Linked DNA regions of Lonchura striata. The protein of the gene in region 1 interacts with the protein of each later gene in a pairwise test. Links are inferred from orthologs where the notes say so. Each region holds a gene or a part of one and is shown in the gene's direction. Other genes may lie near its edges.

Region 1 (7,666 bases):
AGGGTTAAAAATATTTTGAAGAGAATAATTTAGAAGAACATGAGTGGGCTGATATACAATGTGATTGCATAAGCTCTGTTACATTAGGAAATCAAAATAATCGACCCTTTTCCCTCTAAATGGGATAGAATTTAAAGACCAAATTCTGAGCCTGGTAGTGCAAAATCCTCTCTTAAACTTTGCTCCACGACCTCCAGACACACTCCAGAACTTCAAGTTGCTGCTTTATCTTCAAGATTGAGTACAGGAGAGGCAATCTTTGCACTTCAGGTCCCTGTGGCAAAAACATGACCCCAACAGAATGACTCTTGAGTCAGCCTGTGAGCAGCCCTGGGGAGCCACAGAGATATGCAGGTTTGTAGCACACCTGATAGCTGAGGCAGAGACTGGGATTGGAAACGTGTCTCTGACATTCCACAGGAAGCTTTGAGGCCTTAAAAAAGAGTAAAAAGGCTGTAAAGGGTGCACAGGTACTTCTCACAAGGGAAAAAATTAGCTGTGATGAGACTGCACACCTCAAAGCAGGTATTCTGCCAAGACAGCTCCACCACTGAGATTCACAGGGTGGATTTTTGCCCTGGAGCAGGGCTGGTCCCCAGAGCAGCTCTGCTTCCTGCACCCTCACGTGCCAGCTCTGTGCACACACCAGAGCATCACCTCAGCGTGTCCCCAGCTGCCCTCGGCAGAGGAGCTGCGTGTTCAGGGACAGGGTGAACGTGATCTTTCCAATCTCAGCTCTGACAAACACTTCCTGCAGGCTGTGCTCAGAGCTGCTTCTCCTCTGCCTCTCACTTGGGCTGTAGAAGCTCAAGGACTGTTGCTTCCTCAGAACCCAGTGCCAGGAGCATCTCTTCTGGTCACTCCAGTCTGAATACACTCTGCTGCTTGGAAAGCTTTAAAAAGCCCAGATAGCTGGTGGGGGGAAAGGCTTTCCTAAAGCAAAACATCTCTGAAGCCTTCATCCATCCAGCTTCATCACCTGCCAGCCTCTCAAGAAGCACACAGGCTGGAAACACCCTGGAAGGGATCAGCCCATTCTGCTGCTGCAGCCAGGCTGACACTGCAGAGCACTTTGGAGATGGCATTGAGCAACCGTTGACAGGATTTCTCCAGCAAACTGTGCTTTGCAGACCCATTGGGAACCTTGCTGTATCTCAGTCCTGACACAGGCTGGCTCGTCTCAGATATTCATCAAAAGAGGCCTCCTGCTCCTGAGCATCCTGCCTGGAGTTACTGGAGTCCTCCTTGGAGAGGAAAACCAGCTCTGCAGGTGCTGGTGTGCTGTACTCACAGCTCCCTGCAGCCTATGGCAAAGCTCACCTCTGCTCACCCAGCACCTTCTTAGAATCACAGAATCAGAATGAAACAGAATTGTTTGGGTTGGAAAAGCCCTCTAAGATCATTGAGTCCAACCATTACCCCACGTCTGCCAAACCCACCACTAAACCATGTCACCAAGTGCCACATCCACAAGGCTTTTAAATCCCTTCAGGGATGGTGACTCCACCACAGCCCTGGGCAGCTTCTCCAATGCTGGACAACCTTTTCTGGAAGAAATTTTCCCTTATATCCCACCTAAACCTCCCATGGTGCAACTTGAGGCTATTTCCTCTTGTCCTGTTTTTTGTTGCCTGGGAGAAGAAATCAACCCCCATCTAGCTACAATCTCCTTTCAGGTAGATGCAGAGAGTGAGAAGGTCCTTCCTGAGTCTCCTTCTCTCCAGACTCAGGGCCCTCAGCTCCCTCGAGATCTTCTTGTGTTCCAAGCCCTTCACCAGCTCCATTGCCTTCTGTGGACACACTCCAGCCCCTCAATGTCACCTTGTCAACCAAACACCGGTTTTGAGGTGTGACCTCAGCAGTTCCCAGCACAGGGAGGGCAGTGTCTGTCCTGGTCCTGCTGACCCTACTTAACAACACCAACAAAAAATTAGGGGCAACACCGATGGGATGCCCATCTCTTGCTATCCGGACTTCCTTCCGAGGTGTCCATCGGGTACCCGAGGAACCGGCAGCAGCTCCCGGGCTCCTGGGACACCGCAGCGTGTCCGCCCCCAGCTCTGCACAAGCTCCTTCTCGCGGCGATCGGCGGGGGCAGGGAGCCGCCAGCGCCCCCCCGAGCGGCCGGGACCCCCGGCCCCACCGAGCCATGGGGATGCCCGGAGCGCCGGGACCCGCCGGAGCCCCCGGGACCCCCGAGCCGCCGGGGATGCCCGGAGCCCGGGACCCGCCGGAGCCCCCGAGCCGCCGGGGATGCCCGGAGCCCGGGACCCACCGGAGCCCCCGAGCCGCCGGGGATGCCCGGAGCCCGGGACCCGCCGGAGCCCCCGAGCCGCCGGGGATGCCCGGAGCCCGGGACCCGCCGGAGCCCCCGAGCCGCCGCCGGCCGCGCTCCCGGCGGAGTCGGGCGGCACCTGCGGGCAGGTCCCGCCACTGCAGCGGGGCCGGCACCGCCGGGACGGCTCCGCTGCGGAGCGGCACCGGGAACGGCCCCGGGAGCTCCGGGCGGCGCCTCCGCCCCGGCTGTCACCGTTCAGCACCGACACGGCTCGAGCGAGGCTGCCGCTCTCTCCGCCGGTGCCTCCGGGTGAGGCAGGATGCTGCCAGTCGTTCCCCGGGAGCTCTCCAGGCTGGCACGGGGGAAAGCAGCTTTCAGACACGCAGCAGTGTTCCTGGCTATCGCTGGCAGCATTTCCGATGGCTGGGAAAGGTGCGAGGCCGAGCACCCTGAGCAACCAGTGGTGCGAGTCTGGCTGTTCACTGATAGCCCCATTGCACAGGGGGTTCGGAAGCTCCAGGCGTTTCCTCACAATCCACATTTTTGTTAAAAAGAAAAGGGGGTTTCTCATCATCATCTGAAGGGACAGATGGGATGAAGAATCACAAGGAATCACAAGCCCAAATCATAGAATCCTGGGATGGCATGGATTGGAAAAGACTTTAAGCTCATCTCATTCCAGCCTCCTGCCATGGGCAGGGACACCTTCCGGTAGACCAGGCTGCTCCAAGCCCCATCCAACCTGGCCTTGAACACTTCCAGGGATGGGGCAAATGTTTGTGGGAATTTCTAAAAATCCCAAACACACACTACAAAGCAGTTCCTGAGGACGTGGGAGCCTTTATGGGCATTTATGTGAGCTTCCAGTTAAATGAATTGCTAAAGAAAATCGTGAGGGCTGGTGGCCCGGTCACACAGCAGGAGGGAGCAGCCTGGCAGTCACAACTGCACACTGGAGCTGCTCTGAAGATTTGCACAAGTTGCAGTCAGAGGAGGGACCCTGCTTTGTCTGCAGAAGTCCCCCCTGGGTGAGAGCTGTGTAGATCCCACTGTCGTGACCTGAATGGGTGAAAAGAGGAAAATCCAGAGTGCTGGACATGGCAGGTTGAAAATGTGGGAGGCACATTGGGTCTGTCTGATCCCCCAGTGCAGAGGCAGAGGGATTCAGCTCAGAGATGCTGCTCGCATGGGTGGGGGTCGGGGTGGAGTTTTCACTGCAGGAGTCACATTTGGGGCCTATTTTAAACACGTCCCCCACGTCGCTGAGTGCACGTCTCGAGGATTGAAATAGATGGCGGTTTGATCATTGTCTCTCCCAGGGAAATGGTTTTTAATGAGGTTTTAAATAATGAAGTGGGATAATTTCCCTGGCTGGCAAGATCATGAAATTTTTATGCCTCTTTTCTCTCCCAAAGTTTTATCACCCTTTATTTTTAGTGATGTATAATCCCCGCTTTTGAGAAAAAAAAAAAAAAAGCAGAGAAACCACTGACAGAGGGAAAGCCACTCCTGGGGAGGGAGGCTTAGGTAGGAAGCAGTCTGGGGGAAGTTTCACAGACAGCCATTCCCCATCCTCTGGGGATGGGAGAACACCCCAGTGTTGGTGCCAGTATTGGGTTCACAATGCTGGTGCTGGGTGTAAGTGCTGGTACCGGGACCCAGTGCTGGGTATGTGATGCTGGTGCTGGGTGTGGCACTGGGTGCTGGGTGCTGGTACTGGGACCCAGTGCTGGGTACGTGATGCTGGTGCTGGGTGTGGTACTGGGTGCTGGTACTGGGAGCCAGTGCTGGGTATGTGATGCTGGTGCTGGGTGTGGCACTGGGTGCTGGGTGCTGGTACTGGGACCCAGTGCTGGGTGCGTGATGCTGGTGCTGGGTGTGCTATTGGGTGCTGGTACTGGGACCCAGTGCTGGGTGCGTGATGCTGGTGCTGGGTGTGCTATTGGGTGCTGGTACTGGGAGCCAGTGCTGGGTACGTGATGCTGGTGCTGGGTGCCAATAGCGGCACTGTACCAGCACTCGGTGCATGGTGCTGGGTATCAATAGTAGGAGCACGGTGTGCCAATATCTGACTCTGGGCGCCGGTGCAGGGTGGAGTACTGGGTGCAGGGTGCTGGTACTGGGTACCAGCGCTGGTTCTGTGATGCTGGGCACAGCAGTGGGTGCCCGGCGCTGGCACAGTGGGCAGGGGGCCGGGTCCGTGGGTGGCGCGGGTGGGTGTCCGTGTGCGAGCGTGCGTGTGTGTGCCGTGAGGAAGTGCCAGGGCTGCAATCGCTTTCGGAAGTGGCCGGCGGGGCCGGGCCGGAGCCTGCGCAGTGCCGCCGCCGCCGCTCGGCTCCCGCTGCCGCTCCCTCTCCCTCCGGTGCCCAGCCCGGCGGCAGCGCAGCGGCGGCGGCCGGGGGCGGCGGCGGCGGCGCGGATGCCCGGCCCGTGAGTACCCCGCGCCCCGGCCAGGGGCTGCCGCGGATGGGGGGGACGCGCCCCCATCGCCCCCTCCCTCGCCCGGTGCCCAGCCCAGCCTCGCTCCCCCGGCGGACCCCGCTTTGCCCACCCTCTCTTCCTCCCCCAGCCCCTCTGCGCGCTCCCCCTGCATGGAGCCCTGCCCCGGGCATCCTCCCTCCTGCGCGGCTCTCCCCACGCGCGCCGAGCCCCGCGGAGGATGGAGAGCCCTGCCCGTGCCCGTCTGCCTGTCCGTGCGTCCGTGTGTCCGGCTGCTGCCGGTCAGCGGCCCCGTGTGCGAGCGCTGGGGCGGGGGGATGCTCCGTGGGGACCCCGAGCACCGAGCAGGGAGGGGGAACTCCCCGCCGCATCCCCCCGGGGGAGGGCAGGGCTCCTGCCAGCAGGAGGAGGAGGAGGAGGAGGATGGAGAGGGGGAAGGAGGGGGGCACCCTCCAGCCGCAGGGCCGGCTGTACCGGGGTTTGCCCAGCCCGGGGCGGGGGTTGCAGGGAGGATCCCCCTCCCGGAGGCCTCCCCGGCTCTTCTGCACCCACAGGTGGGTGCCAGGGCGGCGCCGGAGCATCCACGCAGCGCTCGGCCGGGCGGAGCTCCCTGCCCGAGCAGCTCCCCGGGCACCGTGCGAAGGGTGCTGAGCCTCGCCAGGGCGATGGGCGGCCCTGACCCGGCCCGCCGGGGCTCGGGAAGGTTGCCTGAGGTCAGGGCAGCCTCCAGCTGCGGTCCCCGCGGGGTTCTCCAGCAGCGGCACAGCCGAGGGGTGGCTGAGGGACGTGCCTCGGTGGTGTCGAGGACGCGGCTGTCCCCCGAAGGGATGTGACATGCGACGGTCGCCCAACACGAGCCCATCGCGTGGGCGGCGTCGCGGGGTGCCGCCACTTGGCACCGCGGCTCCGTGGTCAAGGGATGGAGAGGGCCAGCACGGCCACCGCGCCATGTGCGGGTCACCCTGCCGTGTGCGGGTCACCCTGCCATGTGCGGGTCACCCTGCCATGTGCAGGTCACCCTGCCGTGTGCGGGTCACCCTGCCGTGTGCGGGTCACCCTGCCGTGTGCGGGTCACCCTGCTGTGCATGGGTCACCCTGCCATGCGTGGGACACCCTGCCGTGTGTGGGTCACCCTGCCGTGTGCAGGTCACCCTGCTGTGCATGGGTCACCCTGCTGTGCATGGGTCACCCGGCCGTGCGTGGGTCACCCTGCTGTGCATGGGTCACCCTGCCGTGTGCAGGTCACCCTGCCGTGTGTGGGTCACCCTGCCGTGTGCGGGTCACCCTGCTGTGCATGGGTCACCCTGCCGTGCGTGGGTCACCCTGCCGTGCCTGGGTCACCCTGCCGTGCCTGGATCACCCTGCCACGTGTGGGTCACCCTGCCGTGCCTGGATCACCCTGCCGTGTGTGGGTCACCCTGCCATGTGTGGGTCACCCTGCCGTGCGTGGGTCACCCTGCCGTGGTGCAGGTCACTGCGCTGTGTGCAGATCACCCTAACGTGCGTGGGTCACCCTGCCGTGCCTGGATCACCCTGCCACGCGTGGGTCACCCTGCCGTGCCTGGATCACCCTGCCACGCGTGGGTCACCCTGCCGTGCATGGGTCACCCTGCCATGCATGGGTCACCCTGCCATGTGCGGGTCACCCTGTCGTGCGTGGGTCACCCTGCCGTGGTGCAGGTCACTGCGCTGTGTGCAGATCACCACTCCATGTGTGGGTCACCCTGCCGTGCCTGGGTCACCCTGCCATGTGCAGGTCACTGCGCTGTGCATGGGTCACCCTACCGTGTGCAGGCCACCACACTGTGTGTGGGTCACCCTGCCGTGTGCGGGCACCGAGAGGTTCCCCGGGAAGCTCCCTCTCCCCATTGCTTCCATGAGGCTGCTCTGGCACGGATCCATGGCCTTATTTAAGAAACTAAACAAAACGTGTTAAGCGAGTGGGAGGGATTCCCCTGCTGCGAGGGGAGTTCATTCCCCTCTGGATGCATCTCCATCCCTGTCAGTGGAGATGCTCATCCCATGTCATGCTGGATGAGCGGAGCTGTGGCATTTGCTGGCCTGGTGCACGTAGTTTTCTTTGGGAAAACGGGTCACCCCAGTGGGCACATATTTCAGAGTATCTCCCAAGGGAGAGAGCCACATCAGACTTCCCTACAAGGATTTTAGCTGCTCCGCGTCAGCCCTTCCCCACAAATGACTCAAGCCACTGATCAAAATACAGTCATGTTCTTCAGCAATTAAACAACCTCCACCTCACAGGATTGTAGTGGAGAAGCAGGAGTTTAGTGACACGAATGTATCTCAGTCAGGGTGCAGTTTTGGTATTATTGTTTAAAAAAAGAAAGAACTGAAGGCAGATAAATAATGAAATGAAATCCAGAAGGGGTAAGGGAGAAAAATACCATGGCAGGGTAGCTGGTTCTGAGTCTGCCCAAGGTGCTGGAGCAGCCCATCTCGGCCATCTCCTGAAGTGCATCCTCTCCCCTCTTGGCTGAGCTTCATTTCTAGTCTTTGCTTTTAGGCTGGACCTGGCTTTCAGCTGGGCTGATGCAAAGTGAGTGGGTGAGCTCAGTGCTCAGAGCTCTTCCCTGTGAGCAACAGGTCAGGAGTGGCAAAGCAGCCACTGTGTCACTCCTCAAGCTCTGCAGAGCATGAGCTCGAGCTCCTGGGGCTTTTCCTCTTCTTTTTTTCCCCCAAATTTTTATCCTTTGGATAAAAGAATTTTGGAAAACTCAGGAGGAGGTAAGAGCCGCTCTGTCTTTCCCTCCCAGCTCCTCCTGCTTGTCGGATCAGTTTGTGCACCAACCTCTGGCCATGCCTGAGCACCCCAAAAAAAACAGGCAGGGCACAGCAAGGCCAGGAGGCACCCCCACTGCCATGCCACACTCAGGGTTCAGCAGTGTGGGCTCTTGCCTGGAATAACAGCAGGTTCTGAGTGATCTGGTG
Region 2 (7,133 bases), on another chromosome or scaffold:
ACAGTTTTCTCACCCCTCTTTACTACCTCCTGGCAAGCTGTGGGAACAAACATTTCAGTAAGATCTGTTGTGATAAGAAAATAAGTCATGTTTTACACTAGAAGAGGGTAGATTTAAATTAGATATAAGGAAGAAATGTTTGATTTTGAGGGGGGTGAAACACTGCAGGTTCCCAGAGAGGTGATGAATGCTCCATTCCTGGAAACATTCAATGCAGGACTGGGGAGGGCTCTGAGAAACATGGCCCAGTTGGATCTTTCCCTGTTCACTGCAGAGGGGTTGGACTAGATGCCTTTGAAAGGTCCCTTCCACCCCAAACTGTTCTGTGATTCCAGGAAGAAAGGCAGAGCACTCTACAAACCCTTGAGCTGGGTAGCAGAGCCCACGATGGTGATGTGTTCTGGAAGGCTCATCCCTCCCCAGTCTGGAAGCAGCCAGGATAAAACAACACACATGAGATCATAAAGTTGTCATCTACCCCACATTACCACTTTGGCACAGTCTTTTTCAATGGCATCCATCAGTTCTGTTACCATCCTTCACTTCTTAAAGAAATGACTATCTGATTAACTTTCCTAGCACAATGTTTGAAAACTGGTTGCAGAAAGAAGCTGGGTTTGGTGAGGCACAGATCAGATACAAGAGAATAAAGACTTTTGCTTAAAATACACTGCTGACTCTTAAGTTTGGGAGAGAGCAGTCTGAGCAGAAACAAGCGAGTTCTTTATGTATCTTGATGAAATACTTTAATTGCAGGGATAGCCAGAAAGAAAGTGCCTCCTCTCCACCTTTAATGGAGAGGTTCTCTCATTTTCAAAGGGGGAAAAAAAGAAGCCTATTTTCATTTGAAGTTGTTACTACCAGCAACCACTTTTTATTAAAAGAGGAGTCCTGTCAGCTCCTGAAAAATGGAAACATCTTTTTCAGCAACAAAACCCAATATATTTATCTCAAAAGCCAAGTAGGCTGGAATGCATTTTGTTTGGTGGAGGAGGCAACCTTTTTTCTTTCATGTTCTTGAAATTCATCTGCCATGAATAAGCAGATTTTTTAAAAAAATTAAATTTCCCTCTAAGAAAATTTTGAAAGAAACATTTCCACCAGCTCTGCTCAGTTAGCAGCAGGAAAAAAAGTGGCTTAGAAATGGCTCAATTTCACAGCTGCTCCCCTGAATTTTTCTGAGAGCTGAGAGAGCAAGGAGAAGACTTGCCAATTTCTGATTTTCCCTTAAGAAAGAAATTAGCAGATTATTGTGTAGCAATGGGGATGATCATGGGACAAAGGGATGACTGCAGACTCCACACTGGTCAAGAAGAAGAGAAATAATTTTCTCCATGGCAGGAGACCCAGGCTACAAATTTGTCAGATAACGAGTAGCCGGAGGCTGATATAAAAGACTAATTCTCTTAGTAAAACCCTTGGAGAGTTTCCCAATATGAGACCAAGGCTGGCAAGCTGCTGGAGGAAATGGGAAGAAAATGCAGCTATCTCATGAGGACGCTGCCTCTGGATTTCTTCGTTGTGTTTTTTCTATACAGGACTTTTTGTAATTCCCTCTAGCTAGAACCATTGAAATGAAACTTATTGATTGAAATTCTGATCCCATTGATTTTACACATGAGATTTGTGCGAATATGAAAGAGCAGGAACTGCTCTGTAACCACACCCATCTCCATTTATTCCCTGCTGAAGACATGCTGTAGGTTTGCTTGTCCATCTCAGTTCCCTGAGCTTCCAGAAATAAATTACCCAAAATTCAAATATATTGTACCTATTAGCTCACAAATGTATAGTAGAATACACTAAATTACCTTTTGCTTTCTTTTATCTGCTTTTCTTTCATACCCCCTCTTTACCTCGTTACCCACATCCTGTTTTTCCCTTTTGTTTCAGAGGTCAGGAGGGAAAATGGGAAGAGCATGTTCTGTGAGGAAGAAGAAATGGGAAACAGCACTGGGAGGAGATGATGGTTGCCTGGAAGGAAAGTGCCTGTGACTTCATGCTTAGAATACTCTAAGTGCTATTAGAAATTACATTTCTACCCCTAAGGAAATAGTCCTGGATATGGGATCTGGTGAACTCAGGACAGCAGGTGAGATGCTCACAGAGGAGGCAGCGATCAGGTCCCAAGTGGAAAACGCACACAGTGTAAGGACATGGTCACCCACACCCAACAGCACAAACAGCAGCCCCCTGCCTTCCCCGAGGCCTGTGGGGCAGCCCTGCATTTCCTTCCCACAGCACAGCGATGTTCCTGTCAAGCCTCCTGTAGCTGGGTGCTTTTTGGCAGAGAGGTGGAGTGGCTTTTGGGGGCAAAATCAGCAGCCTCAGCATTCACATCTACTGAACAACCACACCTCCCTTTGCAGATTTCTTGTGTACTGAAATGGTGGGTGTCCTTTCCATGGATCAGGTAGCAAACCTTGATTATCTTAATTTTAGTTTGATGCATTTTACCTTGCTGTGCTCAACACTTCTTTCCTCTCTATATCTTTTTATAGCTAGATTGTCACATATCAATCAATGTTATGGATTAAAGTTGAGTATATTTTAACTTGTCTGGGCCTGTAGGAAAGCATTTTAAACAAAGTTCTATTTATTTTATTTTCCTTGTCGACAGTTGTTTTCTTCTCTCTTTTCCATCCTTGTGAAATGGCAAAACCTGCCAGGAAAATGGTGGGACTTTAATTCACTAGAATTCTTAAATCACTGTTAGATGTCATGGAATAGATATGAAAAGAAGGCAGGTCATCTGCTGAGGTCTGTGACCACACTGCAACACAAAAAACCCAAACCTTCCGTTAATTACACTGATGGAAAACATAATCCAACATGGTGGTGAAACCTGATGCTTTGCATGGAGCATGTAAACGATTCACATTGCAAGTGTTCACATTGCCTGAGCCGTGAGGAGCTCCCAAAGGGCTCCTTGCAGGTCAGGTCACAAACACAGCACTGTGGGGTGGGGGCAGGCACAGGGTGTGGGTGCAGGAGCTGTGGGGGATGCTCAGGGCACGTGGGGAGCCAGGGTTCCCACAGTGGCCGGGGCAGTGCCCAGGGGAGCCCAGTGCCCCCGTACACACACCGCTGTCACATCCCCAAGCACTCAGCTCTGCGCTGCCGGGCCAGACCACAGAACTGTGGGATGGCCTGAGACACAAGAGACCTGCAAGGATCACCGAGTCCAACTCCTAGCCCTACCTGAACAGGGGCTGATGATGTCCTAGAGCAGGACATTCCCAAGAGTTCCACCTGAGAGCCTTGAGGCTTCTTGAAATCCGTCAGGCTTAGTGCTGTGATCACTGCCCTGGGGAGTTCCAGTGCTCAAGCTCGCTCTGGGTAAGAACCTTTCCCTAATATCCAACCTAATTCCCCCCCCGGCATGACTCCAGCCGCTCCCTCGGCTCCTGTCACAGCAAGAAGAGATCGGTGCTGCCCCTGCACGGCCCCTCCCGAGGAAGCTGCAGCCCACGATGAGCTCTGCCCTCAATCTCCTCTCCAAGTGCCCTCGGCCGCTCCTCGTATGGCTTCCCCTTTAGACCCTCCACCTAGGCAGACCCCAGCTCGGAGTCACCGGGCCGGGGGGCAGCAGCCCAAGCCGCGGAGCGTCCCTCCCGGGGAAAGGCGCGGGAGCCCGGGGCGAGGGGCCGGGCACCGGGGCCGCGCCCCCGCCCGTGCAGAGCGGGCGGCCGCTGCCCGCGGGCCCGGGCGGGGCGGGCCCGAGCATGCGCGAGCCGCGCGCGTCACGGGCGAGGCCGGCGGGAGCGCGCAGCCCGGCGCGCCCCCGCGCTCCCTCCTGCCGCCCGCCCGCCGCCGCTCCCGCGCCTCCATTCGGCTCCGCCGCCGCCCGCCGAGGAGGGGACAGCGACAGTCGGGAGCACGGGAGAGGGACGCGCCCTCCCCCGCCGCCAACCCGCTTCCTCCTCCTTCTCCTCCACCTCCTCCCCCGCCTCCGCCTCCGCCTCCCGGCCGGGAAGAGCTCGCCGTGCCCGCTGCAGCCCCGCTGGATGCACTGAGCGCTCGGGCGCGGGGAGAGAGGGGCAAGAGGGAGCCGGGAGCCCCGCCGCGGAGGCGCTGCGCTACCCGGAGCCTCACGGCCATTTGCTTTAATTCTTTTATTGCCCCCCGGCCGCCGCCTCCTCTCTGTCCGCGGGAGCCAGCCGAGGCGGCGGGGGCTGCATCCCCCCTCCCCCCCCTTTTTTTTTTTTAATTTTTTTTTTTTTTTAATTTTCATCGCCGCCATGGGATGTACCCTGAGTGCTGAGGAAAGAGCCGCCCTGGAGCGGAGCAAGGCCATCGAGAAGAACCTGAAGGAGGACGGGATCAGCGCGGCCAAAGACGTGAAACTACTCCTGCTCGGTGAGAACCCGCCGGTCCCCCCATCGCCCCCCTCCTCCTCTTTCCCCGCGCTTATCCCACCTCATCTCTCTTCCAACAGGAGCCGGAGAGTCGGGGAAAAGCACCATCGTGAAGCAAATGAAGTAAGTCCCGCGGGGGGAGCGAGCGAGCGGCGGTGCGGGGCGGGAGAGCGGGGCGGGGGCTCGCGGAGGTGAGCGAGGGCCGCGGGCGCCATGTTTACCTGAGGGGACCGCGCAGGCAGCGCGGCGGGGCCGCCGCCGCGCCCGGCGCTGTCCAGGGCCCGCTGGTGCTGAAGCGGCGCCCCGCGGCCTCGCCCCCGGCGGCGGTGCGGGGAGGCCGGCAGCCCACCTTCCCCCTCGGCGCAGATGTCCCCGTGCAGCCAACCGCTGTCACTTCTGCTTAATGTCGGGGTGTTATCTGCCGGCTCTGCGGATTGAAACCAAGGCTCTCTGTCGCTGAAAGCCCCTTTTATCGAGCTTGTACCTTCTTCTTTTAATTAATGAACGACGAGCTTGGCCACTCATTCAAATCTCTTCTGCTCTGGGATCCGAGTCTCCCTGTGGTACTCGGCGCTGCTCCTCGCTGGGGCTTCCCACACCCTTTTTCTGTGTTTAATTAGATATAACCGTGTAATAAACAACAGTGAAAAGCCCCACCGCACGGTCCCTTACAAGCATCCCCGTGGCTCGTGTAAATGCACCCCGTAGGAAAGCAGGTGCGGAGAAGGCTGATGGAGGTGGAGGTACACTCGTGGTGCGACTATTCTCCCCCCATCCATTTTTTTTTTTTTTCAAAAATTAAAATACAATTAAATATCCCGTCCTCCCACCGCTACAAACATGACGGGCTGGTTGGAGGCGGGCGCCATCACGGAACGAGCCTGGGCGCTGGTTCAGGGTCTGGATTTCAGCTGGGAGCGGTTGCCGCTTTGCGATGCTGGTGGTTGCGGAGAGATCTGTGGCTGGGAGGGCCCCCCCTCCCGGGACCGGGATTGCTTAGCGAGGGGAAGAGGCTGAGAGATGGGTGTGGATGGGGCGCGGGGAGCGGGGTGCGGGTCCCGGCGCGGGGCTCCGGGGCCGCGCGGGCCGACGGGCGGGTCCCGGCGCGGCGTTCAGCGGCTGGAGCTGGACAGCGCCCGCGGGGCCCCTCGGCACCGCGCTCCGCTGCCTCCGGAGGGGCCGCGGAGAAGCCAAAGGGGCCCCCGAACCAGCAAAGCGGCCCGTGCCCCTCGCAAGCTGCAGCCCTGAGCTCCCGTAGCCGCCCCGCCTGTGCGTGTGTGTGTGAGCGTGTGTGTGAATGCGTGTGTGTGAGTGTGTGCCTGTGTGTGAGAGAGTGAGAGTGTGCGCGTGTGTGTGTGAATGTGGGTGTGCATGTGCGCGTGCATGTGCGTGCACCACTGGGGCAGATCTGGGCCTTCAGCCCAGCTCCTCTCCAGGCAGGGTGGCTTAGCGGGTGACCTGGATATTTCTGTATCAACTCCGTGGCCGCTGTGCCCACCCCTCGGGGGTTCAATGAAACCATCATCCCCGCCTGAGGCAATGCTTTTCCCAAGGCGCTGCGGGGCTGGGAGGTCTCACTGTGAGGAGATTTGCCTCCAGTGCACAGTGGTATCCGTGGCTTTCCCCACTGACGTTTGTGTACCCTACTTCTGTAGAGGCTCTCATTGTCTCCTTTTACTGTTTGAAAGAGGGCTTTTCCCCCATAGTTCGATTTGGATCTGGGGTGGGGTAGGTTTGATTTGCTCTTGTTTGTGTGCAGAACGTGGATGAGGAGACATGTCGCTGCAGATGAACACCAATAAATAATTTAATCTCTAGGAATTGCTTCTGCAGAAGCATGCTGGAATGGCAGGTGATGGGTTTTGGTTAAAGGGAGAGGCTGTGGGAACTACAACAGCACAATGCACATGTAGAGCCCATAGGCAGGAGGGCAGGCAGTGACCACACTGGCTACACAAAAAGCCTACAATCTTGTTTTCCAAAGAGCAGAGCTCTTGTTTTTTGAAGCAAATCATATCAAGATAATAACCTGTTTGTTGGACTAGATTGGTATATTGAGGACTGAATTATACCCGTTTTGTGGATGTATATATATATATATGTATATATATGTATATATATACATGCATTTCATTACAACTACTCAAAGTAAGGCATGCTAGGCTTGCAGCTTTGTACCTAATATGAAAACGTCAAGGAAGCTGCTATGGTGGATGGGCTTCTAGTGTGGGAAATGGGGAGGCATCTGTGAGTGTGGAAACTCCAGTGAAGTGTGTGGAGGCTGGGGTGGGGACAGCGGTGTTGCTATGAGCACGGCAGCAGCATCTGGAGAGAACCGCGCAGCCGCGGGCGCCAGGGAGAGCGATGTGCGGGGAACAACGAGGGGAAACCAACATTGCTAAAAATTAATTCAAATATAATGTAGGCATTAGCATTTCACCTGGTCAAGCTCCATTAGACAGCCTTGCTGAGAACCTAATGAATTCTTAATAAAGATTAAATCGCATGTTCATTAGATTTTGATGAAAGAGTGCTATTTTTTTTTTAATACTGTATTATTGGTGTGCTTCTAGATAATAAATCTCATCCTCATGAATGGCTGAAGCAGCTTTACACTTGGATATTGCCTTGAAAACAAGCACAGGAATCTATAGACAGATTGGGGAATGTTAAGACAAAGGAACAGAGAGCAGACATTGTTACATAGGAATAGAAGAGGTTACACACTGCCCAGTTAATCCTTGAAATGTTAGATAGCAGGAGCAGAAGTAGAAA
Region 3 (7,345 bases), on another chromosome or scaffold:
GCAGAGTCAGGGCCACAGGGACAAGGCTGTGAAGGGGTGACAGGAACCAGTGGGGCATCAGAATCAGAGCTTGGGAAGGGAAAGGAGTTATGATGACCTGCAGGGCCATAGGGATAGGGCTAGAGTAGGGGTGATGGGGACCAGCAGGGCTGCAGTGACAGGGTATGGGTCCTGGCTCCAAGGATGGAGCGTGATACCCTGTCCCTGTCCCCAGGTGCGTCGGGCCATCCAGCAGATGCTGTTCCAAGGGAAAGACTTCAGCTGGATCCGCCACATCACCATTGCTGTGATCCTGCTGACTTTCATCAACCTCCTTGTCATCTTTGCCCCCTCCATTCTCGGCATCTTCGGCTTGATTGGTGGGTGGCAGCGCCCTGCTCCTGTCCCTCCCTGATTGCGGGGTGTTGCAGCAGCGTGCCAGCCCCTGTCCTGACTGGTGCTCAGCTTTGTCCCACCCTTCCGTGCCTCAGTTTTTCGTTCTCACCATGCCAGGACCAGGTGGTTGCTGGATCGCCCATCCTATCGCTGTCCTGGCAGGCTGGTTCCCACAGCACAGTGTGGCATTGCTCTTCCCCTGCGTGCTTCCCTTGATCCCCCCAGCCAGGCTCCCCCCGCTCAGCACTCAGCTCGGTGCCAGGGCTGCGGGAGGGGTGTGGGACAGTGCCAGCACACTGCGTCCCTGGGTTCCTGGAAGGCTTTGCCAGGACTGGGGGGGGCAAGGAGGGGGTGGGGGTGGACAGGACCTGTCCGGGCAGTGGGGCTGGCAGGGCTGAGCTGCAGGGTGGCAGGTCCCTGCCCACTCTGTCCCTGTCTTCTTCAGGTGCCACCTCTGCTCCCTGCCTCATCTTCATCTTCCCTGCCATCTTTTACATCCGTATCATGCCCAAGGATAAGGAGCCACTGCGCTCCACCCCGAAAATATTGGTAAGCATGGGCAGGGGTACAAGGATGGGGGCAAGCATGGGTTCTGAAGCTGGCTGGGAACCCTGTTGCCCTGGCCATTCCCTGAGTCCCTTCTTTGTCTCCACAGGCTGCCTGCTTTGCCCTCCTTGGGGTGGTCTTCATGATCATGAGCTTGAGCTTCATCATCATCGACTGGACCACGGGTGGGGGGAAGAGCGGCGGCAGCCACTAGCCACTACCGGGTGCCCAAGCCAACCTCCCCCCCACCCACCCGGTGCCCCAGGGAGAGCCGACCCTGGGCTCAGCCCCCATGCTGCAGCCCCACCAGGATTCCCTGGGGACTTCTGCTGTTGCTGCCCGTCACCTGTGGTGATGGTGAGAGGGCATGAGCCATGGCAGGCATAAAGACTCCTCAACCTGTGTCCGGGATGGGGCAGTGAGCCCGGGGCAGGTCCTGTGCCCCCCAGCCACTCCAGCGGGCACCCTCCCTGCTCTGCGCCTCAGTTTCCTCATCTGTAAAATGGGGAGAATAATACTGCCCTACCTCACCCGGAGCTGGCTGTCAGGTGGAGCTCTTCTGCACCCCAAGAGCCACCAGCAGCAGGCACTGCCAGAGGCGCAGGGCACTGCCTGCCGTGGGGACCGAGGACCAGGCACTTCCCTGGCCTCCCCCAGACAGCATCAAGAGCCTGATGAACAGTGTCCATGGGGGCTGGAATCCAGCGGGGTGGTCAGACCTGTGACAGCACCTGTGCCCAAGCCACCCACCCTCTCCCCTGCCATCCCCCTATCCCCAAAGAGAAACCACCCACTGCCCTGGCATCATGGGGTACCCTGGTTCCTGTGGACCAGCGTGGTCCTCGTGCTGCAGCTGATGGTACCCAACCTGCTGCTCCTGAGCCTGCCAGGGGAACTGTTGGCTCCTGCTGCTGCGGATGGGAGCCTGCCGACCCCTAGGCCATGGATGGGGGGACCAGCTGCATTGCTCCAGGGAGGTGGCATGCACGCCATGGACTTTGCATCTGGCATCCTGCCCCTGCTGCAGCTCGGCTGCTGGGGGCCTGGTGCACCCAAGGGGCATATGAGGGGGGCTTGTGGGGGGCTGGGGGCAGCACTCACTGGGGGCAAGCTCAGGGCTCTGGAGGCACCCCTCATCTGCATGCCCAGATGCCAGGGTGATGGGCACCCCAGGGTGATGGGCACCCCAGCAACCCAAGCTGTCCCTGCTTGCCTTGCACCCTGGGCCAGCACTTGGACCCCTACAGCCCTCACCATCCACCCACCCATCCATGCCGCTGAGATGCCCCAAACCATGCCAAAACCCGGAGAGCGGCTCTCCCACCCCCCACCTCCCCTCCCAGTATGGAGGGCAGTCCAGCAGGGTGGGCAGCACAGGGTTGGGGGGGGTCTGTCCTGCGGCAAAGTACATAAGAGACGTATTTTTTTATGTGGTGGTGGAGGCTGCGATGCTTTTTATAAATACTGTACATAAGAGCAGATCTTTTTTAACGTGTTGTGTTGCTCTGGGTAGCTCCGTATAATGTACACATCATATCGGGGGGCACCGCCGTGGACTCTCACCATCGCCCCGGGTCTGCTGCTGTTCCTGTCACCAGCCTGGCTGCCCCAGGGCCACCTCTGTCATTTGTAAATTATTGGTGGGAGTGATGCTGGCGGTGGCAGGAGGCCAGAGGTGAGAATAAAGATGTGAATGTGCCCAGGTCTCAGGCATCACTGGGGCGGGTGAGGTGTTGGCACGCAGGCTGGTGCCTCACACACGGCATCCTGAGGTGGCACGGACAGATAGACATGGGCCACAGGGGTGCACAGACATGCACGAGGACAGCAGGGATATATGGACATGGATGTGCAGACGGATGAACAGCAGCACAAACAGCACAGACATACATCAGGACAGCACAGACACGCAGACATGGATGTTCAGGGGCCTCCATGGGAGCAGGGCCCCTGTGGAAGTTAGACCCCAGGGAAACTGGACCCCGAGGGAGTGGGATCCCTGGGGAGCAGGACTCCTGTGAGAGCAGGATCCCCAGGACAATGGGACACGTGTGGGAGCACGGCCCTGGGGAGTGGGACTCCTGAGGAGTGGGATACATGGGAGCAGGAACCCCAGCAAGTGCCATGGCAGTAGTATCCCTGGAGTGGGGCTGCTCTGGAAGCAGGGCTCCAGGGAAGCGGCGCTGGGGCATGTCGTGCCTGGTGCCAGGGCAGTGGGTGCCCCCAGTGCCCTCAGGGCCAGCCCCCAGCCCTCGCCCATGGCACAGTGCGGAGTGGGGGTGAGCCCCCCCGGCCTGGCCCCTCGCTCTCCTCCGCCAGCCCCAGGTCTGGGCTCAGTGCCAGCTCGTTAGCAAAGCCTTGTTAGCACGGCAGCCCGCTCCCACGGGAACAGCCCTGCTCCCCACGCCAGGCCCACGGGCACAGGCCTGCAGACCCCACGGGGGATGCTCTATCCCTTCCCCTGGCATTCTGAGTTGAAAGCATCCCTGGCTGCCCTCATCCTGCTCAGCTGGAGCCGGTGGGGGTGTGTGGAGGGGCTGCAGGGCCCGGGCAGGTATGAAGTGCTGCTGTGGGGCTAGCATGGAGCGAGGGTGGCTACCTGGGCACGGGCCAGTCCGCTGGGTCAGCGGGCACACCTGGCCCGCCTCCTCAGGAAGTGTGGGGGGTTCTAGTTCCTAAGGGGGCAGCCTTGGGAGTTGGGGCATGGGGTAAGTGCCTGAGGGACCCCCTGTTCTGGGAGAAACCTGGAGATGCCCCATCCTGCCCCATTCCCTGTCACAGGCACCCCGCTCCTGGCACCTGCCAAGGAGCTCCCTCCTCCTGCGGCAGGGGACACGGGATCCTGAGGAGTGAGAGATGCCAAGCTCTAAGCCACCACTCTGTGACACCGTGTCTCCCCAAAAGGTAGCCCTGAAACACAGCATCACCCAAACCGCTGTTCCGAGGGCTGCACCCGCTGCTCTGCACCCAAAGGACCCCGAAACGCAACACCTGGACTCCATCTCCCTCCCCATCTGTGTCCCGGGACACACCACGTCGCACCCACAGGTCCATCCCGGGACACACCGGGTCCATCCCGGGACATATCGTGTCTCACACCCACAGGTCCATCCCGGGACACACCGGGTCCATCCCGGGACACACCGTGTCCCACCCACAGCTCTATCCCGGGACACACCGTGTCCACCCCGGGACACACGGTGCTCCCCTCCCTTCCCTCACAGCCCGCCCCTCCCGCCGTTTCCCGCCGCTGCCGCCTGAGGGCCCGCGCGCCCACCGCGAGCGGCCTCGCCCCGCGCGCCCCGCCCCCAGCCCCGCCCCGCCCATTGGCCGCGCCCCGCTGGCCCCGCCCATTGGCCCCGCCCATTGGCCCCGCCCCGCGCGCCCGGGGGCGGGGCCTGTCGGGGCGGGCCGGGCCGGCAGAGCCGCGGGCGCGCGCAGCAGCCGCCGCCGCCGCCGCCGCCGCCATGGGCTGCACCGTGAGCGCCGAGGACAAGGCGGCCGCCGAGCGCTCCCGCATGATCGACAAGAACCTGCGGGAGGACGGCGAGAAGGCGGCGCGGGAGGTGAAACTGCTGCTGCTGGGTAAGAGCCCCCCGGGCCCCACCCCCGGGCCCCCCATCTTGGCTTCTCCGCCCGGCTCGGCCCGGCCCTGCCGGAACCGGGCGGCCTCACCACCTCCGCCCCCCGCTGCCCCGGGGCCATCCTGGGTACCAGCGCCAGGAGTGCCCCGCCCCGCCCCGGAGATCCCCCGTGAGTGGGATGCTGGCCCCAGCCCAGGCTTGGGGTTCTCCCCACAGCGAGCTGCCGGCTCCATCGCGGGCCGCGGGGATGTCCCGCCCCAGCCTTCCCGGTTCCCCCCGGAATGGAGCAGCAGGCCTTGGGCTTTCCCCCTGGCGTCGGGTGTTGATTCCATCCCAGGTCCCAGCGATCTCTCCCAGGACTGGGGTGTTGATCCTGTCCAGGGATCCCCCAGGAGTCGGGTGTTGATCCTATCCCAGCTCCCAGGCATCCTCCCCAGGACTGGGGTGTTGATCCCGCCTCAGGCATCGCCCCCCTCAGGAGTGAGATGTTGATCCAATCTGAGATCCTAGGGATTCCCCCCAGGAAGGGGTTATTGATCTTATCCCGGTTCCCACAGATACCTCCCCCCCCCCACACACACACACCGCCAGGAATGGGATGTTGACCTCATCCCAGCTCCCAGTGTCTCTCCCCGCAGGACTGGGATGTTAACCCAATCCGGTTCCCACCAGGACTGGGGTGTTGACCCCAGCCCAGCTCCCAGGGTTTCCCCACAGGAACGGAGCCCTGTACCCACAGCAGACCCTGGGTCCTCTCTGCAGTGGGGTTCTTCCCCCACCCCTCTGTGAGCAGGATGCCAGCCCCGTTCCAGGCTTTGGGGATCCCCTGGCAGTAGGGTGCCAGCCCTACAGAAAACCTTGGCTGCCCCTCAGAGAGGGTGCCACCCCACCCTGGGTTGTGGGGATCTGCCCCAGAAAGAGCTGTCACTCTGCTATGGTACTGTCCCCCCGGTCAGTGTCCAGTCTGGACACCTTTGGGACAAAGGTGGGGACATCCCCACTCTCCTGTTGGATGTCCCCCCCCAGCAAAGGTCCTGCAAGCTCGGGCACCCTGTCCCACCTGCCCAGGATCCCTGGTCTCCTCCATGGGCTCCTCTTACCCTGGCCTCTGGCTGTGATGGAGGTAATGTGATGGAGGTAACGGGGCTGGCAGGCACCCTTTGCCCCATTGCCACTGGAGCACTGGGACAGCCCCGAGCCTCTCCATCACCCTGCCCTCTCCGTGGGGGTTTGAGGGGCTTGGGCCATTGCCGTGGGCAGGGCCCCCCACATCCCACGGGCTCTCTGTCTCAGGGACACTCGATTTTGGTTCTGATAACGGGCTTTTGCTCTTCAAAGCACCCTGGTGATGCTCCCAAGGGCGTTCACAGCCCTGCCCTGTGCCTGCGGGCAAGGCAGCACTTCGTTATTTTAATTCATTATTTGTCTTAATGACTCCCAGTTGGGCTTTTTATTCCCTTTGCGAAATTCCCAGAGAGGGCCTCCCTCCAGGTGTGAGGTGGGAGCGCTTGCTCCCATGGCACCGTGGGGCAGCGGGACAGAGGGAACCCTGACAGAAAATGTCTTTGGACTCATCTGCTGTCTGCAGAGGAAGCTGCCAGCAGCAGGAAGTCATGCTGAAATCCGGCAGGCCTTTATTTGCTCAACCCCTGCCTGCCTTGAGAAATACGTAATTTACGCCTTAAAATGCTCCTTTATCAGAGTGCGTCTCTTTTTTGTTTTATTTTATTTTGATTCTTTTTGCCTTGGCACGAGCAGTGCTGGCAGCAAAACCCATCCTGGAGATATTTGGAAGGGATCTGTGCTGTATGGGGGGGCTCGATGGTTGGGCACACTCGCTGCCCCATTTTTTTTTCTGTGGAAGGGAGAGTGGAGCCCCGTGGGATATGTGGGGTAGTGGAGAAGCATGTGGTAGCTCTTTGTCATGAGCTGCTCCCGTGCTGGCCTCGCTGCCTCCTCTGGTGGGAAGTCATGGGGAGGTATCTGGCCAAAGAGGTTTGGCACCTCCAGCCTCGGGAGGCTCCTGGGAGTGTCCAGGACCATCCAGGCAGTATCACCTGGTGCTGGGAGGGCCCATCCTGTTGGTGCTGAGCATCCCCGAGGAGCAGCTGCGGGCTCGCTGGGTGACAAGGATTATGGTGTAGGCTGACTAGCTGACATCCCTTTCTTGGATCTTGCTCTGTCCCAAAGTGGAGGCAGGAGGGGGAAGAGGATGTCCGCACTCCCTTCTGCTGGGGCCGGTGTTTACGAGTGGCATTTCTGATCTCAGCTGCTTTCTAAAGCCAAAAATAGAGCAAAATGGCTCTTTCTGTACATTAAAAAAAAAGGTTTTTCCTTCCCCGTGCAGCTGGTCAGGTGTCAATAGCACTAGAGCCTTGGGTCAGTGCTGCCCATTTCCGAGCTGAGCCTTGGCTGGAAAATCCTCCCAAGCCGGGAGGTGGGGCCAGCACTGCCCCCCTGGGGGCTGCTGCTTGTGACATGTCCCCTCTGTGAGGTGGGACCGTGCTGGTGGGATCCTCCCACCTCCCTGCTGCTCACCCTTGTATGGCTTAGGTTTTTTTCTCCTGGTCAGGGGAAGGTTTGAGGAGACGTGAGGCCTCACATGTTTTTTTGGTGAGCACCACAGCTCCTCATCACTCTCAGCAAGCTCCAGGGTCCTCTGTGGGGGCTGCAGCCCTCCTGCCTCCTCTGGAAAAAATTGAGAGAAAAACAGCTTCACCCTTTGTGCTGCATCAACCTATAGCATGAGGAGGAAATGTCTCTTCCAAGCGTGGCATTTTTTTTTGGTGTTGGCTCATGGTGTCCCACTGCTGAACTTTGGAGCTGGGGCACCACAGCCA
Region 4 (7,053 bases), on another chromosome or scaffold:
ATTATAACATTTTTTTCTAAGTATCTATTAAATTATATATAATCCTTCTGAGGGCCCAATTTGGTACTTTGTCATCTGGTAAGAACATAATTGGCAAAACTAAATATATATGAAATCAATACATTTCTTTTTGTTCTTTGTTATTACAAAAAAATTTTAAATCCCCACTAAATGCCTACTGATGTCCTCAAATGGGAGAGATCTACTTTCAAGCCACTTTTCAGTGAATATATTTTATCATTCATATGAAGTGGAAAACCTCCAACCAGGAAGATTGCAGGAGGGAAGAGGATACCCTAAGAACAACCAACAACATGTTGCTCAGACCACTTTAACAGAAGATCTGAAGCTGGTACAATTTGTTTTAAAAAATTCCTGGCACTCTTTAATTGCATCTCCTGGGACTAATTCCCAAAGATCTCTGTATTTTGATCTCAAGTGATTTTTTTCTCTTCAACCTTCATGGATCCTTTGTTGTATACTTTAGTAAGTGATCCCCAATTTGGGTGAGTGTTTGAGGTGTTTTTTTTTGTTTGTTTGTTTGTTTTCCATTCCTTTGCCCTTAATAGTGACAAATGAACAAAGAATATTTTAACTTACTTTTTAATTTTTTTTTTTTTTAATAACAGAATAATGCAGCCTTGAAGGACAGGCTCTTTAAAAAGAACTATGTTCCTTTATCTTATTTCACAGTATCACTGTAGCTTTCTTCCCATGGAGGCTCTGAAGGAATAGGAGTGCATGGATCCATCCCAAAGCTTAGGATAAGCAAGGCCTGCTGTGGAAAGTTTCCTGCACAGGAAAGCCAAGGTACCTCCAGGGCTCTGGGAGAGCAGCTCTCCTCCAGCTGCTGGATTTAATGTTTGTTTTTCTCAACTTGGCTTCAGGAGCAACTGCTGATGCAGCAGCTGAAACAATGAGCTGCAAACACAGTAGGGATATAATAGAACTGTGAAGGGAGGGATGTAAAGTGCTCAGCATTTGTAGGGTTTGGTTGTTGTTTTCTTTTTAAAGAAGTTCTTTTTTAGTTGATTGTGATATTAGATGTAATGCATTGTCTGGGTTCACATTCTCAAATATCTCTCATGATTTGCTCTCATAGGAGGAGTAAACTGCTGATATTAAGCAAAACCCTCAGTTACCTGAAGGGTGAGAGAAGATAAAAGGGTGAAATCCTGGTAGAAAGTGAATTTTCATCCTAAATGATGAAGCCAAATGAGGTCAGGCTGATACCACCTGATAGAATGTGCATTCATGATTTTTTCCCCACCATCTCAGAGTCACTGATACAAAGCAACAATATATCAGATAGATATAAATACCAGATCCCAATCATCTGTTCATGATGCTATTTTAAACTCTTCCACGTGAGAAAAATGGTTAAAAATAAAAATACAGCTCTTTTATTTTCCGTTAAATGTTCTGTTCAGTTCTTCATGCTGAGAGAATCACAGACCTGTCTATAAATATCTAACCCAGATCTACAATTGCTTGTTAAAAAGAGAGTGTTTGGTAGAAGATTGAATGAAATACACTATATCTTTTATTATATTTTTATTACAGACCAGATGTGGCCTCTGTCATTTGGAGATGTATATTCACCAAGAACATTGCATGTGTGCATATAAATATTTTCATGTTGTAATGGTATAATAAAGGGAAATTGGTTAGAAAAATCCCTATGGGATTTTCCACTTAAGAGCACATTTTTGTTTTAGCACTATTGTCTTCAAAATAAACATGTATGAATGTATCTATTTTGATTGATCCAGCAGAAAGCAGCTGTAAACAGGCAAGGCTTTGGCTTTTGGTTCATGAATAGCCCTGGCAAGTTGAGTGAAACTTGTGCAGCCAACGAGCCCAGGAGGTTGTGTCTTGGATGCTGCACCTTGAAATGCTGCTCCCTTCAAACTCAAGCCTGCTCTGGTGGGGAAAAATGGTCACCACACTGACATAGAAGAGGAAATGGAAATCCAGTCAGATTGCACAGGTCCCTAAAATTACTCTTTATATTTCCACACAAACTATTCACTCTCTACAGTTATTTCTGTGTATTCAGTCTACCTGTTTACAGAGCACAACATTCAGAGTCCTGGGCTAAGGACCTGGATTTCTGTGCTGTTTGACTTTTGGCATTTAATCACCTGTCCAGGCTATTTGGAGACTTATTTCTCTTTACATTCCTGTGGGAGCTTAGCTACATGTAATGCAATCAATACATGCTGAAAGGCCCTAATTGAGGATTTCTGGATGCAGGACAAGGTAAGACTGAAGAAAACTTAGACATATCTGCTGAGGTATTTTTCGGTCATGTTGGTTTTTAACTCTGCCATTAATCAGCAGCAAGCTCCCATATGGTAGTGTTGAAATAACTGCTCCTAAACTTCTCAGACTTGTCTCATTACTCAGGTACTGCATGTTTGTAATTCCTTCACTGCCAGCATTTGATCTATACTCTGGTGCCTCCCTCAAAGCTGGAGGAAAGCAGGTGTTCTGTTCTAGCAGTGGAAAATGCCTAAAGCTGCTCTCTCTGTAGACAGCATGCGAATGATGATCGTCCTAGCCAGGATGATGGTGGTTGGTGCTTTATTTCTGCCACAGTTGGTTAGTGTGTGGAAGATGCCTTTTCTCACATATCAAGTACTATGCTAAAGATACATGTAATGTGACAGTTTCTATAGTAACTACTTTATGGAATTGCAGATTAAACCTGTACACCTTGTTATTGTTCTTTTATCCTATTATCTAGACTACTCAGTTACCACAGATACTTTTTTTTTATTCTATTCCCTTGCCAACATAACTATACCAGGGATTTATTCATTTGCAACTAAAGAGTATATATTAAAAACAAAACACTTAGAAGTTTTAAATTGACCACTATCTGATCTTATAAACGGAGATGTTTGTGCATGTATATTGAAAGCTAAAATTCCAAAACAAGACTGTAGAAATATTTTTATTAAAGCAGGTCAAAATTATGATTTGAATATTATTGTTTTGCTGAGAGAACAAAGCAAGTTATGTATTTCACATTTATTTTCTAACAAATTTTACTTGAACAAATTTGCCTAGATGTACTAGCAAACTTTTAATATGAATGACATCTAAGATTCATTATTATAGGAAAATTTTCTCAATATGGTATACTGATTTAAACATGAAATTATTTCATTCTTATAATTTGTCAATTCTGCTGATAATATCAGTACTGGAAGTGATATCATTTACAGGAATCAGATGCTTTCTGCTTTGTATTATGTTAGCCTTATTGTGGGAAAAAATGCCTGCATCCCGTCTGCATGTGACAGTGTCTGTTGCTATCTCCGGCAGAAGTGTATCAGTTACAAATCAAGCTTATAAAATTAGCAGTGTAGGGAGAAATCAGCTACTTGATCAGGGCTGCAGATTCAACAATGCAACTAGTACTGTAGCCAAAAGGAAAAAGACACTAGGAAAAATGTAAAATATGAATCGGGTAAATCCAATAATGAGATAAAAAGAAAACGATACTCATCGTTAATTAAAGAAAAAAAAAAGCTGTAGTAAATTACACATACACAAATGCAAAAGGCAAAAGGGGAAAATCAGAAAAAAAATATCCGCCCAGTACTGAGAGCAACTGAGTGATGGTAGAAGTGGAAAGCAAACAGCCGATAAATCCCGTGTAACTAAAGAAACTGTTTTTTCTCCCTTTACCCTTGACCGTATCCTTCCAACACGTATGTGACTGGTTGTGGAATCAAGCCTAAAACTCGTGCCGCTGCCAGAGCCGGGCACTGCTGTGCTGCAGCGAACATGGACCCGCGGAGCGGCCCCGGGTGCGGATGCAGTTGTGCAGAGGCAGAGCCCGTGGCACGTCTGTGCCCGCACATTATGTAACGCGCGAGTGCAGCGGAGCGTACGAGCCGGGGAAGAGGCACAAACCCCTCGCCAACACCCAGCTCCTTCTGCGCCGCGGCGGGGCGGGGGCTGCGGGGGCTGCGGGCCCGGCCGCCCCCCGGGCGGCAGCCGGAGCCGGAGCGGAGCCGCCCGCCGGCCGCGCCGCCGCCCCGCCCGCGGTACCCCCGCCGTTGGCGTGGAAACGGGCTGGCGGCTCCGGCTCCTCCTCCAGCGCCAGCCCCGCGCTCCCCCTGCCCGGCTCCCCGGCGAGAGCGCGGAGCACCTCCCTGTCTCCCGCGGGGGGTCGCCGGACAAGTGCTCCGCGGCCGCCCTTAGACCAGCCCGGGTTTTTTTACGGTTGTGTTTTCTAGGGAGAAGATGGGAAAGGGCAGGTTCGTGCTCCTGCTGGGGCTGCGGGGCTAGTCCCTGCAGTCGTGGTGTGTGTCTGCTCGGCAAATCACAGATGCTGATGTGAAAAAGGGCCAAAGCAGAAGAGAGGCGTCAGTGGATGAGAGCTGTTTGTACTGATGGATTGAGGAGGTGGAGGCTGCCCGCCTGGTGCTGGAGAGGTGAGTGCAATATTCCGCATTTCCTTCTCTCCTAAATCAGTTCAGTGATCAACATTTCCAAAAATAAAAAGGAACTAATATAGCAAGAAGAAAAAAAAAATGTTATTTTGAAACAATAAGCTATGCTTCTGCTGGATAAAAAACACGAGTGTCACAGTGAGGTAGGGACATTTCGCTGTGTGTAGACAAAAAATAGTAAGGGGAGGCAGGCTGCTGATACAGTGAAAATGACCTTCTCAAGGGATACTGGCCTTCTATTAGCTACTGCTTCAGCTTGGGCCCTTCTTCTAAAAATTAAGTGATCTCCCATTCCTAGCCTGAATCGTAACCCATTAATAGCCAATACCTGAGCCTTAATAAGATCCGTTGTGTTCCCTTAATGATTCAGAAAGATAATCCATTCGATTCTGCCTGTTGGGAGAAGAACCTCCACGCTATGTAGCACCTCCTCCCAGGGAAATGCAGCCTGGATAGCATTCTATCAGAAAAGACTCCTGCTGCCAAATTTCCGTAATAAGTCCTCCTGGTAGCAGTCTCATCTGCTCATTGGAAGGATGTGTGGCTCTGCAGAGCCTGGGTGCATTCCCTCTCCGTGTGTGCCCAGGCATGTGAAGGAATGAGGAGGGTTTCTATTAATCTGCACCTGTGGACGGCTCCCATCTGCACTTGTGAACCACAAGTTTTTTGGTATCTTTGCATTTGCATTTTGGGTGAGCACTTAATACACAAAACCTCCAAGCCTTCAATGTTAGCTGAGAGAGCTGCAGACAAATAGATGTCAGTTTAATTTCTGCTCACAGAACTGATCTGATCTGCTTTTGGCTGTTTCACTGTAGAAGACGTTTAATGTGTGTTCTTGCAGTATTTGTTCTGCAAGATACTGACCTATCTCAACATCTTCCTGGGAAGATTTGAGAAAAAAATCCCTCCATCATGTCTTTATAGTTGTTTATATCCATTTTCTGATAGCCTCACACCCACAAATTGATTTTTATTTGGGCTCAGTATTTCGCGCCATTGTGGGTCACACCCTTCGGGTGGCCATCAACATTTCATCCATAAAGGTTACAACAGCAGGTCAGGTGTTGTGAATGCCTACTTGTGGATCACAAAAGGGCAAAAAATGAGTGTGTACTTTGGACTTAAGGGAAATTTTGTCTGACTTTGTGGATATAGACATTGGAAGTACGAGCTGATGCCTTAGGAGCTGCTATAGGCAGAAATCCTCACTTTTCTTCAACAGGCACAGATTTGACAGCTGAACAGACACAGCTCTGCAGAATAGAGAGTGTTTTGCCATTAACCTGGCTGTCTCCATCAAATCATTTGTTTGGAAGCTATCATGCAAAAAGCTCAGATCCCTGCCCTTGGATTAAGGACATTATAGGAGGAGAGGCCTATATATATAGAAGGATGAAGATGTAGTCTTAAAGAAGCCAGCGACAGGTGTAATCAAAATAAAACCTCTTAGTTATAAGGCATATTTAGGAGAAAAACTCATGCTATCTTTTGTTACCAAAGCACTGATTGCATTTTCAGAGAAGAAACCCCTCCTGTGTACATATGTATGCTTATAAGGAAGAAAAGCTGATTAATTCTGTGCAAGGCATGGAATTTCACTCTGACAATGAACCTTACAGAGAGGAATAAACTCCGCATGCTACGTAAAGAATGCTACACCTCTGGCTGAGATTATATGCTTGTCACTTCATAGGCCACTGGTGATAAGAGTTGAATAAGTCTTCTGAAGATGCTACCTTGAATTTTGTAAGCCTCCAGAACAGTTTAATGTTTCAGTTGCAGACCTTGGTTTTGAATTTAGTGTCGGTGATCTAAAAATAACCAGCCAGGTAGCTCTGAAGGACTGAGGTGAAAGTGTTCTGGTTGTCTCAGTTCTGACTATGCACTGATGGAACAAGGTGTGTTAAATTTTAAGAAGTGTACCTAGAAACAGAAATTTGTCCCTTCTTAAGGAATCTACCTGCTAAGTGGTAGGGAAGGGGATAAGGATAACAGAAAAATCAGTAGGTAATAGAAGCTCAAATCCTTAAATGGTGAAGTCAGCTTTTCCTCTGTAGCTTAAGCAGATAAGGATTTTGACAGCAGCCTTGGTTGATACACAGAGGTGAGGCAATATAGGGAATGATGCTTTATTCTCTCTCCTCCTCCATAAATTAAAGATAAATACTTCAAATTCCTTTGGGTTAAATCACAGTAATCCCACTTATTTCAGATGAGATTCTTCAGATTTATGTAACTGAAAATGAGAGTTGAATCTGACTATTTCTGCTAAAGTTTTGTTCCTGCTTTCACAGGAGTCACTGGAAGTTTTGTCATTTATTTCAGCTGGAGAGAGCCCAGGACACACAGTTTCACTGATCAGGCTCCCCCTTGCCTTTAGGAACAGCAATGTTGAACAGTTTCTTAGCTGGTTTATGTGAGGTCACAGGCTCAATGACAAATTCAGTAACTCTCTACTTGCATCACAAACTAATTCATAAATTATCAGTTACTTGAATCATGCTTTTTTGCTGAGAAAATGGGAGTGTTATGAGTGTTATTCCCATGTTAAGGTTGACAGTACCCACCCTCAGCAGTAATA

Evidence for each region.
Region 2: the proteins of RGS19 (region 1) and GNAO1 interact in a two-hybrid assay, tested with the Homo sapiens proteins (2 studies listed by BioGRID). The link is inferred for Lonchura striata from reciprocal best matches to the Homo sapiens genes RGS19 and GNAO1.
Region 3: the proteins of RGS19 (region 1) and GNAI2 interact in a two-hybrid assay, tested with the Homo sapiens proteins (2 studies listed by BioGRID and IntAct). The link is inferred for Lonchura striata from reciprocal best matches to the Homo sapiens genes RGS19 and GNAI2.
Region 4: the proteins of RGS19 (region 1) and GNAZ interact in a two-hybrid assay, tested with the Homo sapiens proteins (2 studies listed by BioGRID). The link is inferred for Lonchura striata from reciprocal best matches to the Homo sapiens genes RGS19 and GNAZ.

Annotation. Positions count from the first base shown.
Region 1 is NC_134619.1:6,745,304-6,752,969, forward strand, and holds the start of RGS19 (regulator of G-protein signaling 19), read left to right. Parts: upstream 1-4,654; 5' UTR 4,655-4,708; intron 4,709-7,666. UniProt on the Homo sapiens protein: Inhibits signal transduction by increasing the GTPase activity of G protein alpha subunits thereby driving them into their inactive GDP-bound form. Binds to G-alpha subfamily 1 members, with the order G(i)a3 > G(i)a1 > G(o)a >> G(z)a/G(i)a2.
Region 2 is NC_134615.1:15,386,367-15,393,499, forward strand, and holds the start of GNAO1 (guanine nucleotide-binding protein G(o) subunit alpha), read left to right. Parts: upstream 1-4,118; 5' UTR 4,119-4,241; coding exon 4,242-4,359; intron 4,360-4,438; coding exon 4,439-4,481; intron 4,482-7,133. UniProt on the Homo sapiens protein: Guanine nucleotide-binding proteins (G proteins) function as transducers downstream of G protein-coupled receptors (GPCRs) in numerous signaling cascades.
Region 3 is NC_134614.1:10,279,549-10,286,893, reverse strand, and holds the start of GNAI2 (guanine nucleotide-binding protein G(i) subunit alpha-2), read left to right. Parts: upstream 1-4,336; 5' UTR 4,337-4,388; coding exon 4,389-4,506; intron 4,507-7,345. Other genes in the region: SLC38A3 (sodium-coupled neutral amino acid transporter 3), read left to right, coding at 215-359, 821-924, 1,031-1,135. UniProt on the Homo sapiens protein: Guanine nucleotide-binding proteins (G proteins) are involved as modulators or transducers in various transmembrane signaling systems.
Region 4 is NC_134620.1:4,247,691-4,254,743, reverse strand, and holds the start of GNAZ (guanine nucleotide-binding protein G(z) subunit alpha), read left to right. Parts: upstream 1-4,053; 5' UTR 4,054-4,451; intron 4,452-7,053. UniProt on the Homo sapiens protein: Guanine nucleotide-binding proteins (G proteins) are involved as modulators or transducers in various transmembrane signaling systems.